Arabidopsis thaliana: one gene and its partners. The protein of the gene in region 3 interacts with the protein of the main gene of each other region in a pairwise test. Each region holds a gene or a part of one and is shown on either strand. Other genes may lie near its edges.

Region 1 (5,773 bases), on a different chromosome or scaffold from region 3:
AATTCATAGAAAAATTCAGTCGTACTTTCGTCAATTCATGGATTTATTTTTTGTTGTAGCTAAAACTTCAGTTGTACTACCAAAACAAGAAGAAGTTCAACGTCTTGTTGATAGTATCATGAGTTGTGAAAACTCACGTGAAAAGAAATGTAACTATGTAATAAAGTTTTTTATAGTATTAATAGAATAAAACTTGCTTAATTGGTGGTGTTATTTATATATACTTAATTAGGCAATTAGGTTTCAAGAAGAGGAAAAAAACGATGGGACGGAGGTGGTGAGTGGTGGTGGTCGGAGCAGACAAAGAAGGGTCCTACAATTTGCCTAACCGTAAAGAGCCACATTCCTTTTTCTTTTACCCCATCCCGTGAGTGAACCCCACTCTTCCTCATTCTATTATTCTCAATCTATATTTTCAAAAATAAACATAAATATACAAACTCTTTGCAGCATAAAGGAATATGTTGATAAAACGGAGCTTTGTTTATGATTTTGTTTCATTATGATATATTTTTTTTAAAACATTTACCAACAATTTCTTAGAAACATAAATTAAGAGCTAACTAGTATATCTAGTATTTCTCGAAACCCAAACTCATGTTCTTAATTTTTTATTTTTTTCTGGAATGTTAATGACTATCGGATATTTGAGTATAATTGTATGAATTTGCTTGACTGTTGCATACTTTGAATCTTTCTTTCTAGTTTACAATTGTGCAAATTAAATCAAACTCGTTTTCAGTATTTTACCTTTTAGTACTATACTTAATTATGTCATCTGTATCAGGTAATAGTTAGAGGAAAGAGGAAAATGGTGTAATATAAACAACAATTATTTGTATGTGAGTTTACGACCATCATCTAGCTTAAAGTACACACCAATGAGAATATGAACACAGTTTAGCTCAACTCATATATGATCTATCCGACATCTTTTCAATGTTTTGGGTCGCGTAGGAGTATCGGAAGCAGCTTAAGACATAGCTATTTAATAAATTGTTGGTATGTTTTATTTATAACAATTATCACAAAATCAAAAGATACTAATCTCGCTGTTTGAGGCAGACATCTGAGAAAACATGTCTTCTACCAACATTCAAGATTTGACAAATCGTTGTTTACGTATTGTTATATTGAGCATCTTACAACAAAAATTTACGTGTATTTTGAAACTCGGAAATCAATCATATCTATTGATATTAACACACAGTGTTTCCTGACTATCGTCGCAGACGAATAATAATAGTAATAATCTTCCACCTCGTGTGATTCTATAATCTTATATTCTTGACATAAATGTCGTCAAAATTTGGTATACATCAAACATGGATCGTGTTTAAAGTAATCATCAAAAATCACCACACGAGAGTAGATTCCCTATTGTCAAATATAGATCAAAGAGAAAACATGTAGGCTACAAATATAACCTAGTCCCTACGAATAAGAAAAATGTCATTATACCACAAATGATAACTGCAAAGTGTGTGTAAATTTTGATTTTAAAAGAAGGTAAAAAAATAAAAAAGATAGATTTGGAAACAATCTTTTACCTCTTTGGTATTGAACATTGTGACAGTATCAATCAGTATGGTACAGAAAAAACGTCAGAGGAAAAGAATTATCAAAAAACGTACACTCTTCATTTTCATTAAAATCTTTTTTTTTTCTTCCAAAAAACAAAAGCAGAAAAAATGTGTCAGAAAGATTTATGCAGCTTTCATTCATTCATCACTTGCACTGTCTCGTGAAGAAAATTAAACTTTTTTGTATCAGAAATTAATTACATTAAAAGAAAAGAAAAAAAAAATTCCCTCCTTTCCAAGTGCGTTTGCTTTGTGGAGTCTCTCTCTTCTCTCTCTCTGTCTGTGTGTGAAGTGAGAGGATCTTTGTTTGGTTCTGCAATCATAATTTCGTGATATACTAAAAAAAATGCAATTTCCTCTTCTCTCTTATAAGCAGAGACCCTACTACTCTTTGATCGAATTTTCCTTGCTCTCTTCTCTTTGTTCTCTCATGTTTTTTTCTCCCTAAATTTATGGGCTTTGCTCTCTCTCTAAGCCACACTCACACTCTAAAGCACTCGTCTTTCTTCTTCTTTTTCTTCAGAAACAGTTATTTTGACTTGAAAAACCAGAGCTTTAATCCTGGATTCATGGCAAAAAGAGCATTACTTTTCTTTTCCTCTCTCACTTTCTTGTTTCATTTGGCTTAAAAATTCAATGATAATTTTGTATTTGGGGGAAAGAAGAAGAAGAACAAGAGTGTGTGATTGATTCAATTCTTAAAAATGACATTTTGGTGTATGTCAATTCTTCTGATTGTTGGGTTCTTATCAAAATCTGAGCTTTGTGAAGCTCAACTAAGCGATGAAGCCACATTGGTTGCGATTAATAGAGAGCTTGGAGTTCCAGGATGGAGTAGTAATGGCACTGACTATTGTACTTGGGTTGGGCTTAAGTGTGGTGTCAACAACTCTTTTGTTGAAATGCTTGATCTCTCAGGGCTTCAGCTTAGAGGTAATGTTACTCTAATCTCTGACCTCAGAAGCTTAAAGCATCTAGATCTTTCTGGTAACAACTTCAATGGACGAATTCCTACTTCTTTTGGCAACTTGTCTGAGCTTGAGTTTCTTGATTTGTCTCTGAATCGTTTTGTTGGAGCGATTCCGGTTGAGTTTGGTAAGCTTAGAGGGCTTAGAGCATTCAACATTTCTAATAACTTGCTTGTTGGAGAGATACCTGATGAGCTTAAGGTTCTAGAGAGGTTAGAGGAGTTTCAGGTCTCTGGAAATGGGTTAAATGGTTCTATACCTCACTGGGTAGGGAATCTGAGCAGTCTCAGGGTGTTTACAGCTTATGAGAATGATTTGGTGGGTGAGATACCGAATGGGTTAGGTTTGGTTTCTGAGTTGGAATTGTTGAATCTTCACTCAAACCAACTTGAGGGGAAGATTCCAAAAGGGATTTTTGAGAAAGGGAAGCTTAAAGTTTTGGTCTTGACACAGAATAGATTGACCGGTGAACTCCCTGAAGCAGTAGGAATCTGCAGCGGCCTCTCGAGCATTAGAATTGGGAATAACGAGCTTGTGGGAGTCATTCCGAGGACAATCGGGAACATTAGTGGACTTACTTACTTTGAAGCAGACAAGAACAATCTTTCAGGTGAGATTGTTGCAGAGTTCTCCAAGTGTTCTAATCTCACTCTGCTGAATCTGGCAGCTAATGGGTTCGCTGGAACCATTCCAACAGAGCTTGGTCAGCTCATTAATCTTCAAGAACTGATTCTCTCAGGTAATAGTCTCTTTGGGGAGATCCCTAAGTCGTTTCTTGGAAGTGGAAACCTAAACAAGCTTGATTTGAGTAACAACAGACTCAACGGAACCATCCCAAAGGAACTCTGCAGCATGCCAAGGCTACAGTATTTACTTCTTGATCAAAATTCCATAAGAGGAGACATACCTCATGAGATTGGAAACTGTGTGAAGCTACTTCAGCTCCAACTGGGTCGAAATTACTTGACGGGAACCATTCCTCCTGAGATTGGTCGCATGAGGAATTTGCAGATAGCACTCAACTTAAGTTTCAACCATCTTCATGGATCATTGCCTCCCGAGTTAGGAAAACTCGACAAGCTCGTGTCATTGGATGTCTCTAACAATTTGCTCACAGGATCCATACCGCCACTACTAAAAGGTATGATGAGTTTGATCGAGGTTAATTTCTCAAACAACCTTTTGAATGGTCCAGTGCCAGTCTTTGTTCCCTTTCAAAAGTCTCCAAATTCGAGCTTTTTGGGAAACAAAGAGCTTTGTGGAGCACCATTGAGCTCTTCTTGTGGATATTCTGAAGATCTTGACCATTTGAGATATAATCACAGAGTCTCCTACAGAATTGTGCTCGCAGTGATTGGTTCTGGTGTAGCTGTCTTTGTATCAGTCACTGTGGTTGTTCTTCTCTTCATGATGAGGGAGAAACAAGAGAAAGCAGCGGCTAAAAATGTTGATGTTGAAGAAAATGTTGAGGATGAGCAACCAGCAATTATCGCGGGAAATGTCTTCCTTGAAAATCTTAAACAAGGAATTGATCTTGATGCAGTTGTGAAAGCAACTATGAAGGAGTCAAATAAACTCAGTACGGGAACTTTCAGTTCAGTTTATAAAGCCGTTATGCCTTCGGGGATGATTGTTTCGGTGAAGAAACTCAAGTCTATGGATAGAGCCATATCTCATCATCAGAACAAGATGATCAGAGAACTCGAAAGACTCAGCAAACTTTGCCATGACCATTTGGTTAGACCGATAGGGTTTGTTATATACGAAGACGTTGCTCTCTTGTTGCATCAGCATTTACCTAATGGTAACTTAACTCAGCTGATTCATGAGTCCACCAAGAAACCAGAGTACCAACCTGACTGGCCAATGAGACTGTCCATAGCTGTTGGAGCAGCAGAAGGTTTAGCATTTCTCCACCAAGTCGCCATCATTCACCTCGACGTTTCCTCTAGCAACGTCTTGCTAGACTCTGGTTACAAAGCCGTGCTTGGGGAAATCGAAATATCGAAACTTCTAGATCCCTCTAGAGGCACCGCGAGTATTAGCTCAGTTGCAGGCTCTTTTGGCTACATTCCACCAGGTATAAAGTCTTAATTTTGTTACCAGTAACTTTATACAAAATCCAACACTTTCCCTTGGTTTATTTCTGCAGAGTATGCATACACAATGCAAGTTACAGCTCCGGGGAATGTTTACAGTTATGGAGTTGTGTTGCTTGAGATTCTAACCTCAAGAGCGCCGGTGGAGGAAGAGTTTGGTGAAGGAGTAGATTTGGTGAAATGGGTCCATGGAGCTTCAGCGAGAGGAGAAACACCGGAACAGATACTCGATGCCAAGCTTAGCACCGTGTCTTTTGCTTGGAGGAGAGAGATGCTTGCAGCTCTGAAAGTTGCATTGCTTTGCACAGACATCACACCTGCAAAAAGGCCAAAGATGAAGAAAGTAGTTGAAATGCTTCAAGAGGTTAAGCAAATCAAATGAGCAAATGAATATATAGTTTCCTCTTGTGACATTCATATACAAAAGAAAACGCATTCCTATATATGCGAGCTTCTCCTCTGTGTATTATATAGGTTTTTATGATAAAATTGATCCGCTTATGGTTGATTTACTTATCCAATGACACAAATTATAAATTAGATCATAGAAGAACCAATGTACATCTTGAGGGAAACTGTTCAACAAAGCATCTGTTGTAGAATCTTAAGATTACAATACCATGTGAAAACCAGATGGCCTCTTTCAATTTTTTACACATCACACCAAAAAGAAACAAGAATTGGACAAAAGAATAAGTGAAAAGAGAAGATAGGAGTAAAAACCTAGGAGGAATGATCTAATTATAGCACGACGGAGATAATTCCGATTTATGATGCTAAAGAATCTATAAAAACGTAACCCAAGACTTTGAAAACCAAGCAAACCTATTTTTGTTATGTTTTGTTTGAGTTCTTGACTGGAATTCAAAGCCAAACATGGTTTGGATCCTGCCGATGATCAACAGCCAGCAGCTTTAAGGAAGTTGTCGTAAGGGCTTGAGGCTGGTAGTCTAAATGCTTGTGGGTTATTTTGTAGTTCTGCATAGCACGGTGACTGAATAGTTCCCACTGGTGTTCTTGGCGATTTCATGTCGAATTCTTTCGACAGTAAAGGGACTTCGACCTAAACAAATTTCAGTAATCAATACAAAAATGGTTAAACAGTTATCTTGGAATATGAAAC
Region 2 (4,183 bases), on a different chromosome or scaffold from region 3:
AAGAAATAAAGTGAAGGTTTTGAGGTGGATTTGTGTACAAGTGAGAAGCCATGTCAAGCACCATTTATGCAGAGCAGAGTTTATGTTTCAGCTTTTCAAATGAGTCAGAGTCACCTTTATGCGAAGCATGGTTCTGATTGGTTTAGTGACGATGACGACGTCATCATTGCGGCAAATTTTAAATTACTGTATATATATCTTATAAACTTTATAAAATATCCATAAATTATTAGACACATTTATAAACTGTAACAAAAAAAAAATCATAATCAATTTCTTTATTTAAAAAATAAAATAAAGCATTTCAATATTTTAGTAGGGAAGATATTAGTTAATATCATTAGAAAAAATAGAAAAAAAAAGGAGAAAATGCAACAAGAAGAAGAGAAAAAAAAAAAACTCTAATTCATTAATTTTTGCGGATTAACTGGATCGTTGCAGTTTTTTGCTTTATTTCGATAAATGAACAACAAAAACAAAAGTCCATAAAAAACTTAGTAGATGCATAAACTAACCATAGAGAAGTCGATAAATGTGATGCTCTATTAATACATGCGAGTACGGAGTATCTATTGAAGAGGTACAATACTACAATTAAATCACAAAGTTTACCTTAGACCAAAAAGAAAAAAACATATAGATTAGTAATATATAGATTGTTAATATAATATTGTATGTTGGTGACAAAATAAATTGCCTAAGTTTTGGTTAGAAAATAGAAATACTTTAACCAATATAAGCAGATTACCTAAGATCATTTTTGTAAAATGGAAACTAATTATTTTATGTTTTGAGAATTCTTCGTTCGTAAACAATCTTTGTACTCTTCTCAGAAAGTTGATATATTTTTAAAAATTCTTTGACTCTAATCTAATGATGTTAATTTGTACATTGTATTGTTGTGATTTCTTCGTTTATAGAATATATGGAACTCTATCTGACTACATCTACATATACAATTTTGCATGAAAACTTCTCTAGATTTTGTAATTATTTATTTTTGTACAAGTTTTCAGTGAGAACAAGACTAAGATTTGAATGGTCAAGTATTCTTCTTCTTCGTTTACAAATTGAATTTCTTAGTTTGACAACGTATGTCTTTATAATAATAATAAAAAAAAGTTAGGATATTTTTTTATTATAAATATTCATATTTAAAGTTAACACTTTAATTTCAAGGAATGTTCAATTGTTCATCCATTTTTTATTTTTATATTGGATATATAGTGGCTAAAAGCCTAACATAGCAACGCCTTTTATGCGACATATAGTTGATAATTATTGCAAGTTTCCTCCACAATTTCTTCCTAATACAAATAATTGCACAATTACAAGACTCAAGAGAAACCTTTCTATTTGTTTGTATCACATAGTCATAGTGGATAAACGTCGATCGTTAGGCAGTCAAAATTATATGTGTAACAAAAAAAAAGGTGATTCACCCTAAAGGCTAGCTAAAAGATGACGTTTTTTTTGTTCAATAATTTTTGATCCATTATGACTTTGTAATCACATTTAAATTATACAGAAAATATGTAACCATTTTCTTGTTTATTTTGCAATCAATTTTATTAGGAAGAAATTGTGGAGGAAAGTTCGAAAGAATTTTTCAAGGATACTAATATAAAGGTTTGCAAAAAAAAAAAGGGTTTGTTTAGCAGTTTATATAGAAAGTCAAATCTTCAACTAAGTTTGTTTAACTTGTCAGCATAAACAAAAAATTTGAATATGAATGTGTCTTGAGCTCTTTGAAGCTATAAAAAGATAGCATTGAACATAGCTAACATCAAAATCTGAAAACTATCAATGGCTAATACCTATAAATCGATAGCTGTATCAATAATCTTCCTACTATACTTTTCTTGTGTCTCAAGTCAACAACAAACCAAATTTCTTAACCATGGCTTTCTGGAAGCTAATCTCCTCAAGTCTGGCTCGTCCAAGATCCACCCGAGTGGCCACTTGGAGTTGACAAACACTTCGATGAGGCAAATAGGTCAAGCTTTTCATGGCTTTCCCATACCATTCTTAAACCCCAACTCCTCAAATTTGGTATCTTTCCCCACAAGCTTCGTCTTTGCCATCACTCCAGGACCTGGCGCACCAGGCCACGGCTTAGCTTTTGTCATTTCACCCTCGCTGGACTTTAGCGGGGCCTTACCAAGCAATTATCTAGGCCTATTCAATACCTCCAACAATGGAAACTCCTTGAATTGCATTCTTGCAGTTGAATTCGACACTGTGCAGGCCGTTGAGTTGAACGATATTGATGATAACCATGTTGGTATAGACCTCAACGGAGTGATCTCCATTGAGTCTACCTCCGCTGAATATTTTGATGACCGAGAGGCAAAGAACATAAGTTTGAGGCTGGCGAGTGGGAAACCAATAAGAGTCTGGATCGAATACAACGCAACTGAGACGATGCTCAATGTCACATTGGCTCCTCTAGATCGTCCGAAGCCAAAGTTGCCTCTTCTCTCTAGAAAACTAAATCTTTCTGGGATCATCTCTGAAGAAAATTATGTTGGATTCTCTGCAGCCACGGGAACTGTCACGAGCTCACATTTTGTGCTAGGCTGGAGCTTCAGCATCGAGGGGAAAGCATCAGACTTTGATATCACGAAGCTTCCCTCTCTTCCAGACCCGCTACCTCCATTGTCTCCATCCCCGAGTCCTCCGGTTTCAGTCATGAAAAATTCGAGTAACACGATGCTGATCATAATCATTGCTGCATCAGCAATATTTGGAATCTTGATCTTAAGCTTCTTAGCGGTTTGCTTTTTTCGTAGAACGGAAAACTTCACCGGAGGCGCACGGAAATTCTCCCACCAGACGATTTCCAGCGCGACGGGAGGTTTTGACAACTCTAAGCTTTTGGGAGAGGGAAACTCTGGGAGTTTTTATAAAGGGCAACTTGCTCCTACAGAGATAATTGCCGTAAAGAGAATTACTTGCAACACAAGGCAAGAAAAGACAGCCCTAATAGCCGAGATCGATGCAATCTCCAAGGTAAAACAAAGAAATCTTGTTGATCTACATGGTTACTGCAGCAAAGGAAACGAGATCTATCTTGTTTACGAGTATGTTATCAATAGAAGCCTAGACCGGTTCTTGTTCAGCAACGACCTACCAGTTCTCAAATGGGTACACCGGTTTTGTATTATAAAGGGTATTGCGTCAGCACTTCAACATCTTCACGCTGAGGTTCAAAAACCTCTCATACACGGAAATGTCAAAGCAAGTAACGTTCTTTTGGACGGAGAGCTAAACGCTCGACTAGGAGACTATGGACATGGAAGCAGACACAGCACTACGGGACACGTTGCACCAGAACTAGTCAACACGGGAAAGGCTACATGTGCCACAGATGTGTTTGAATTTGGAGTGTTAATCATGGAGATTGTTTGTGGAAGGAGAGCCATAGAGCCGACAAAGGAACCGGTAGAGATCAGTTTAGTGAACTGGGTGCTTCGAGGGGTCAAGAGCGGAAATCTCTTAAGGAGATGCGACAAAAGAATCAAGAAAAAGAATTTAGTCTCTGAAGAAGTGTTATTGGTTCTGAAAACAGGACTTCTCTGCGTGAGACGATCTCCAGAAGATAGGCCAATGATGAAGAAAGTGTTGGAGTATCTCAACGGTACAGAACATCTCCCTCATGATGACTACGTCGTCTAAAAGAGGAAATGGCTAACGATGATCTCGAAACGCCGTTGTACAAATCAAGATTGGACCCAAGATGCATAAGCATGATATGAATAATACATAGAATAACTTTTAAAAATGGAAATAAGAATTTCTCGTTTTGAGAAATTAATTTCATTAAATATTATCTTCGATTAAACAATCTTCGTACTCTTCCGAGAAAATGAATATTTTAAAATATTTGTGTTTGATTTTAAATTCTAAATGATGTTTGTTCGTCGTTTTAGGATAACTAGTATGTATTGTTAAAGAAAAGATAAGCAAATAAATAGTATTGTTGGCAGACTTTTCTAGCCCTTTCATTGTAATTTCAATTATCTTTGTTCACCAGTAGATTTTTATAGTAGCAACAAAATCTAGATTTCTATGGAATTTGGGTTCAGTATAGATTTTTTTTTTTTTTTGTTAAAGGGATTAGTTTAGATTTTGGATTGGATTCACCTGGTTAATTTAAAAGAAGGGTATATGCACTAGATGA
Region 3 (2,874 bases):
TTCAGCTGGTATTTTGTTTAGTGATTATAGAATGGTAAATGTTTTTTTTTGTAGAGATCTCTTCGTCTATTAATAATGACTCAAAATCTAGTTGACCATTCATGATTCATCTATTACTTTTTTTGAATATTACTTTTCATATATATATATATATATATATATGTTGATAACCTCTCATTGTCGTGGTAAATTTTGGAAAGATGTCTCAGTTATTTATATTGATAATGACTCAAATGATGAGAAGTATCTATCTCCGTGTGTTGTGTGTATAGAGAAGTCGGCATTTTAATGAGTAAAAAACAAGAGAGCATATATGTTCATCGTTAAACCTCTCAATGTATGCAGTCTACGTGTTTAAAAAACAAAAATAAAAAGTTGTACGTTACTAAAAATGACCAAGTCATGAGTACAAGAAAAAAAGGTTTAAGTGTTCATTTAAAAGACTTTCATATTATAGATTAGGGACTTCAGTCTTTTCATATATATATCATAAGGTGAAATGAGCACAATCTATTCATATCACTATGATTAAATGAACCACACAACCGTAACAAGCATAAAGGTGAAGAGCGGCCATTTCGATATAAGCTTAGAGCCGCCGCCGTAAGTTGTGTAATCAAGCGGATATGCAATACGATGGATGGCTATGAAGGAATCCACGTAGATGTCAAGTTCGATGATGAGAACGCCGTCGATAGAAAAAGAAGTAGCAGAATTGTTGGTTACCAGAATGGAGGAGCCGTTGAGAAGAGTCGGTAGTCTCGATCTACTTGGCTTCAAGAGAAGATCTGCAAACTCAAGCCTCTGAGGAACAATGTGGTATGAAGCCAACTTATGTCTATCATCGCTCCCGTTGGCGGAAGAGTTTGGGATGAAGAGGGTAGATGGGATAACCTCGGCGCGGATCCGGTCATTGGTTTCTATGAAAACCGATGACCATTCTTCAAAAGGGGCATGAGCCAATGCATCAATAACATCACGGGCCGTCTCCTCCACCGTGCCAGAGACAACGGCGAAAACTGAAACGGTGGAGAGAAGAAAAAATAGTAGGAGATTCATATCCAAGAGACCAAAAGTGAGAGAAAAGTCCAAGAATGGAAGAAAGGAGTTTTCTTTTGTTCTTGGGAGTTAGGAAATTGTGATATGGCTAGTTGTATCAAGTTAGTATTATATAATTAAAAGCAAAGAGAATTATGTGTAGGAACAAAAGGTGAGTGAAAGTGTGAAGAAAGACTGCACACAAATTTTGAGACCTCTTTAGAAGCTTGAACCGCACAAAAAAAAAGGATTGAGTTCAAATATTTCCTATATACCATAATAGCTTAATATTATGATTTTGATTTGATTAGATAGAGAACAATGTAGCTCAAATGATAATTGGTTATAGAATACATTTGGAACATTTTTAGTTTTTCTTAAGTATCATTGTATCAATGATATCATTAACAATAAAAAATAATCTTAACCAAGAGTAAATATAACATGATTGATATATAAAACACAATTATATATCATACTAGTCAAAGCATCCCATTTTCTTGAAAAAAGCAGGTACCGATGCCTTATGACAAAATTTGTTTCACTCAACTGCACAAAATATTTATTAAATAGAAATAATAATATTAAGAATCACCAAACGATTTAGCATTGGTTTAAAAGAACCTTTACCCTTAACCTTTTAATTAGAGATAAACTTAACTAGAAGAAACTTTACTTTAATAAAGTAGACTGTGACTGAAAAATATAATGAAAGCCAATTATGGGTTTTAAAAGAAATTGTTTTGCTTTAAAACACCTAAAACATATTACATAATTAACTATAACGATTTTAAAAACAAATATTAACCGAACTAAAAAACAAAGCAAAGTCTATACGTAATTATTTAGGATAATGATTGTTTATCCTGAGACTGCCTTGATTGGTGTATAGATTAACATGTAAAAGCTAAGTACGTAAACAGAGGATAGCGTGTACTAGAATGCTCTCCAAACCAAATAACATAATTAGGACATAATTAAACAGAACTAAGGTCTTAAACACCTTCTTGAATTGTTTCGGATACTCCTTTTGTTTTTGGATATTTCGGGTACACATTCGGTTACCTTTTCGTTCGTTTCGTTTAAAGATTCTATAATCCATTTTTTTCACGCTAGACCCGAACCGTCTAGTTTGACCCTGTGACCTGTACACACTTCCAGTTTGGGTTAACATCCAACAGTTTAAAAACTAGAAAAAAAAACACAAAAAATTCACCATTAACATGCTATCCACTGAATCAGTCGGGTTTGAGTTTTAACAAAATCCATTTGATTTTGATATTTTGGAATTAAATATTAGGAATGGTGAGAGAAACAACGGTGATTAGTTATATTGTTTTCGCAATGTTTTATTAGTTTTTTTGTTGATAATCTCATACTATCTAAGTATTTTTTTTATGGTTTTTGTTGGATTTAAAAATTTTAATCACTTTATTTTTATTGTGAAACTTCATATTTTGTTAAACATGGTATGATTATTTTTTATTTTTATATTTATAATACTATATAATTTCTAAAAGTATTAAAAATATTAAATAAATTTTAATCAATTGATCTATGGTCGAATCCGGTTGAACCCAATGACACAGTAACCTAAAAAGTTATCTGGTTCACCATTCGGGTTGGGTTTGAAAAAATTGGTTAAGATATTTTATAATTTTGGTTGGGATTCAGTTCGTTTTTTTATTTGTTCGGTTTAGTATTTTGGTTTCGGTTATCTCAGTATTTCTTTCTTGAATTATTCTGTTACGGCTAACACGACTTTCTAGTTAAAAGCTTATACTCTGTTTTTTTCAATAGGTTTTCTGCTCCTGTGCAGAACATATGAACTATACA
Region 4 (2,779 bases), on a different chromosome or scaffold from region 3:
CAGGGACAAGCCTTTTGCCTATCTGTGTTTGATCACTGGGCCATTGTGCCAGGAGACCCTCTAGACAAAGCCATCCAGTTGCGCCCACTTGAGCCCGCTCCTATTCAGCATCTAGCTCGGGAATTCATGGTCAAGACCCGCCGTAGAAAGGTATTATGATTTCCTTTGTTTCAATGCACATCCCAAAACTTAGTGGGTTTCATGCGGTTAAAGATACGAATGAAACCATAAACTGATTTGTTACTCTAGTGTTTGGTTAAATGACCCCAGTAAACCCTCACAAACCAAAGGATCCCCGAAACTACTGTTTACAAACCCGGCCCTTGCTAATTACTCTTTAACCAAGTAACACCAGCTATAATTTGCTGGATACATCCTAGGCTAGTTATATTGTATGACTCGTTGGGTGTTTGGATCATCAGTTTCAGACTCTCACGATATGTATAATTTGTTGGTTATGCAGGGAATGAGCGAAGACGTCAGCGGAAATAAATTCTTTGATGAAGCGATGATGGTAGAGCTTGCCCAGCAAACAGGCGATCTCCATCTGCAGATGATTTGATGATCTCTGCACTTTTTTCATATAAATCGTGATTCAGGACTAGTAGTAGTATCTTCTCTTCTCTATATATGTGAAAGGAGAACAAGAAAATGTGGATCAGTTTTGTAATTGATGTGTCAAATTTACGTTGTAAGTTGAGAGATTTTAATGAACTCAACAGTCCACATGGTCACACTCACACATGACTCGCAAATAGTTGACAGGAAATGTTCACAAATTTTTGTAAAATTGTAAACTACTATTGGATTATGGGAAACTGAACTAGGTTATGACACTATCATTTATAAGATGATCTCATAGTTTGTTGTCTATATGATTAGTAATTATACATATGATACAGAGAACGTACGATCCAGATCCTATTTCCGCAAAGAGTTTTCTGCATAACTAAGATTTGATTCTTCAAAAATGCTAAATTTAAAGATAAACCAGGTCAATGGCACAAACCTATCTAGATATAAGTAAGTTTTTCTTCATAATTTAATTTAGTGCACACAGACGACTTATTTTACTCCAATGAAAATCGGTTAATTCGTCAAACGTCACTACTTGTCTCAAAGATTTGTTGTGCTTTACTATTTTCGTCTATTTCATGCTTCCATAATCAGCTTTTTACGTTGACGTGCTCTTTACAAATCGAAGTGGACGTGGCGGCAACCACTTATACTTATTATACATAGAATAAAGCTACAAAATATATAGTTAAGGCCCTGGTGGATTAATATATACATCGTTTAAGGTTTTAGATTGGTCTCCTCCACCTTATTTTATGTGCATTGCCAACTCTGAAAACGTCATGCCTTATCTTCATTGGTTATATCCATTTGGCTCCATCAACCAAACGACGATAATGATTTTCCACATATCCTATATACATTTGGGTTCGGTAGAATTACTACAATACTCAAATTGCTTTTAATTTATGTTTTAGTTTATGGAATATGAATTGTGAGTTTTTTAAAAAATAATCTCCCAATTAAATATTATTAGCTTTTAAGTTTCTATTTCAAGTGAAATCAGTTAGCTATGCATGTCATTCAATATAGACATAATTTTGTTTTCTTCCATTCGTTTTACAATTTTTAACTAACAGAAATTATACATTACGTCACTTACTACGTTCCCACTAAAAATAGAGGCAAATGCAATCAAGTGATGACGACCTTTCAAAAATAAATATTAAGAGATATATAAGAAGGGACTAGCTAGGTAGATATGACTAGATTCCAACTTAATTAACGTATTTAATTTCTGCATAGATGGACGTTAATTAGGACTTTAGCTTCTCTATAAATACCGTAGCTATTGAGCTTATATATGGAGATCACCCCCTTAAAATCTTCAAAGACTATATATCTCACCTTTAAGAACTAAGAGGAAGTTACATATATATGGCAAGTCTCAAGTTATGGGTTTGTTTGGTCCTGCTTCTAGTACTCGAATTGACATCGGTGCACGAATGTCGACCATTGGTTGCCGAAGAGAGATTTTCTGGTTCAAGTCGTTTGAAAAAGATAAGACGTGAACTTTTTGAGAGGTTAAAAGAGATGAAGGGGAGATCAGAAGGCGAAGAGACGATCCTTGGAAATACTCTTGACTCAAAGCGGCTTAGTCCCGGTGGTCCTGACCCGAGGCATCACTGACACTGACCATAGAAGAATGCAAAAAAAAATGTGTAATGTAACATTTTTGGGAGAGTTTTAATATGATATTACAACTTTTTAACTTATAATGTAATATTCTTATGCTGTAGTTAATTTTCTGTCTTTCCACTAATGAAGCATTTCTGTTTACATGATCTCGTTTTTATGTAGTTCCTGCATGCATCTTTCTTTAGCAAATATGTTCTATTTAAAAAAGCAGCATGTTATGCTTATTTTGAGAGCTATTCCCATTTTCACTAAATATGAGTTCATACTATTCAAGTTAATTAAAAAACACCATTTAGCTTATTTCTTATATCTAAAATTCACAATTATAACTAACAAATAATTACATAGATATACTATATAACATATATCAACATCACTTAGTTTGTATTTGAAATAATCAATCTATATACTAAAAAAAGAAAAACATTACCTTTATAACAAAAAATGAGTGAAACTTTAATGGAATTTTTCACCAGCAGAAATATAGTGAATCTAAAAGCATTCAAAATTTTCTGAAGCAAGATTTTTTTTTTTCAATTGCTTGTCAGCATCACATATTTGTCAG

What was found.
Region 1: the proteins of AT4G12950 (region 3) and AT2G41820 interact in a protein complementation assay, tested with the Arabidopsis thaliana proteins (one large-scale study listed by BioGRID).
Region 2: the proteins of AT4G12950 (region 3) and AT2G29250 interact in a protein complementation assay, tested with the Arabidopsis thaliana proteins (one large-scale study listed by BioGRID).
Region 4: the proteins of AT4G12950 (region 3) and CLE3 interact in a protein complementation assay, tested with the Arabidopsis thaliana proteins (one large-scale study listed by BioGRID).

Annotation. Positions count from the first base shown.
Region 1 is NC_003071.7:17,444,883-17,450,655, forward strand, and holds AT2G41820 (Leucine-rich repeat protein kinase family protein), read left to right. Parts: upstream 1-1,861; 5' UTR 1,862-2,287; coding exon 2,288-4,631; intron 4,632-4,703; coding exon 4,704-5,032; 3' UTR 5,033-5,226; downstream 5,227-5,773. Other genes in the region: AT2G41830 (Uncharacterized protein), read right to left, coding at 5,549-5,713. UniProt on the Arabidopsis thaliana protein: Leucine-rich repeat receptor-like protein kinase that may play a role in vascular tissues development.
Region 2 is NC_003071.7:12,578,404-12,582,586, reverse strand, and holds AT2G29250 (Concanavalin A-like lectin protein kinase family protein), read left to right. Parts: upstream 1-1,806; coding exon 1,807-3,678; downstream 3,679-4,183. Other genes in the region: AT2G29260 (NAD(P)-binding Rossmann-fold superfamily protein), read right to left, coding at 1-64.
Region 3 is NC_003075.7:7,574,827-7,577,700, reverse strand, and holds AT4G12950 (Fasciclin-like arabinogalactan family protein), read right to left. Parts: upstream 1,060-2,874; coding exon 529-1,059; downstream 1-528.
Region 4 is NC_003070.9:1,904,022-1,906,800, forward strand, and holds CLE3 (CLAVATA3/ESR-RELATED 3), read left to right. Parts: upstream 1-1,896; 5' UTR 1,897-1,953; coding exon 1,954-2,205; 3' UTR 2,206-2,277; downstream 2,278-2,779. Other genes in the region: MEE5 (Ribosomal protein S5/Elongation factor G/III/V family protein), read left to right, coding at 1-150, 464-562.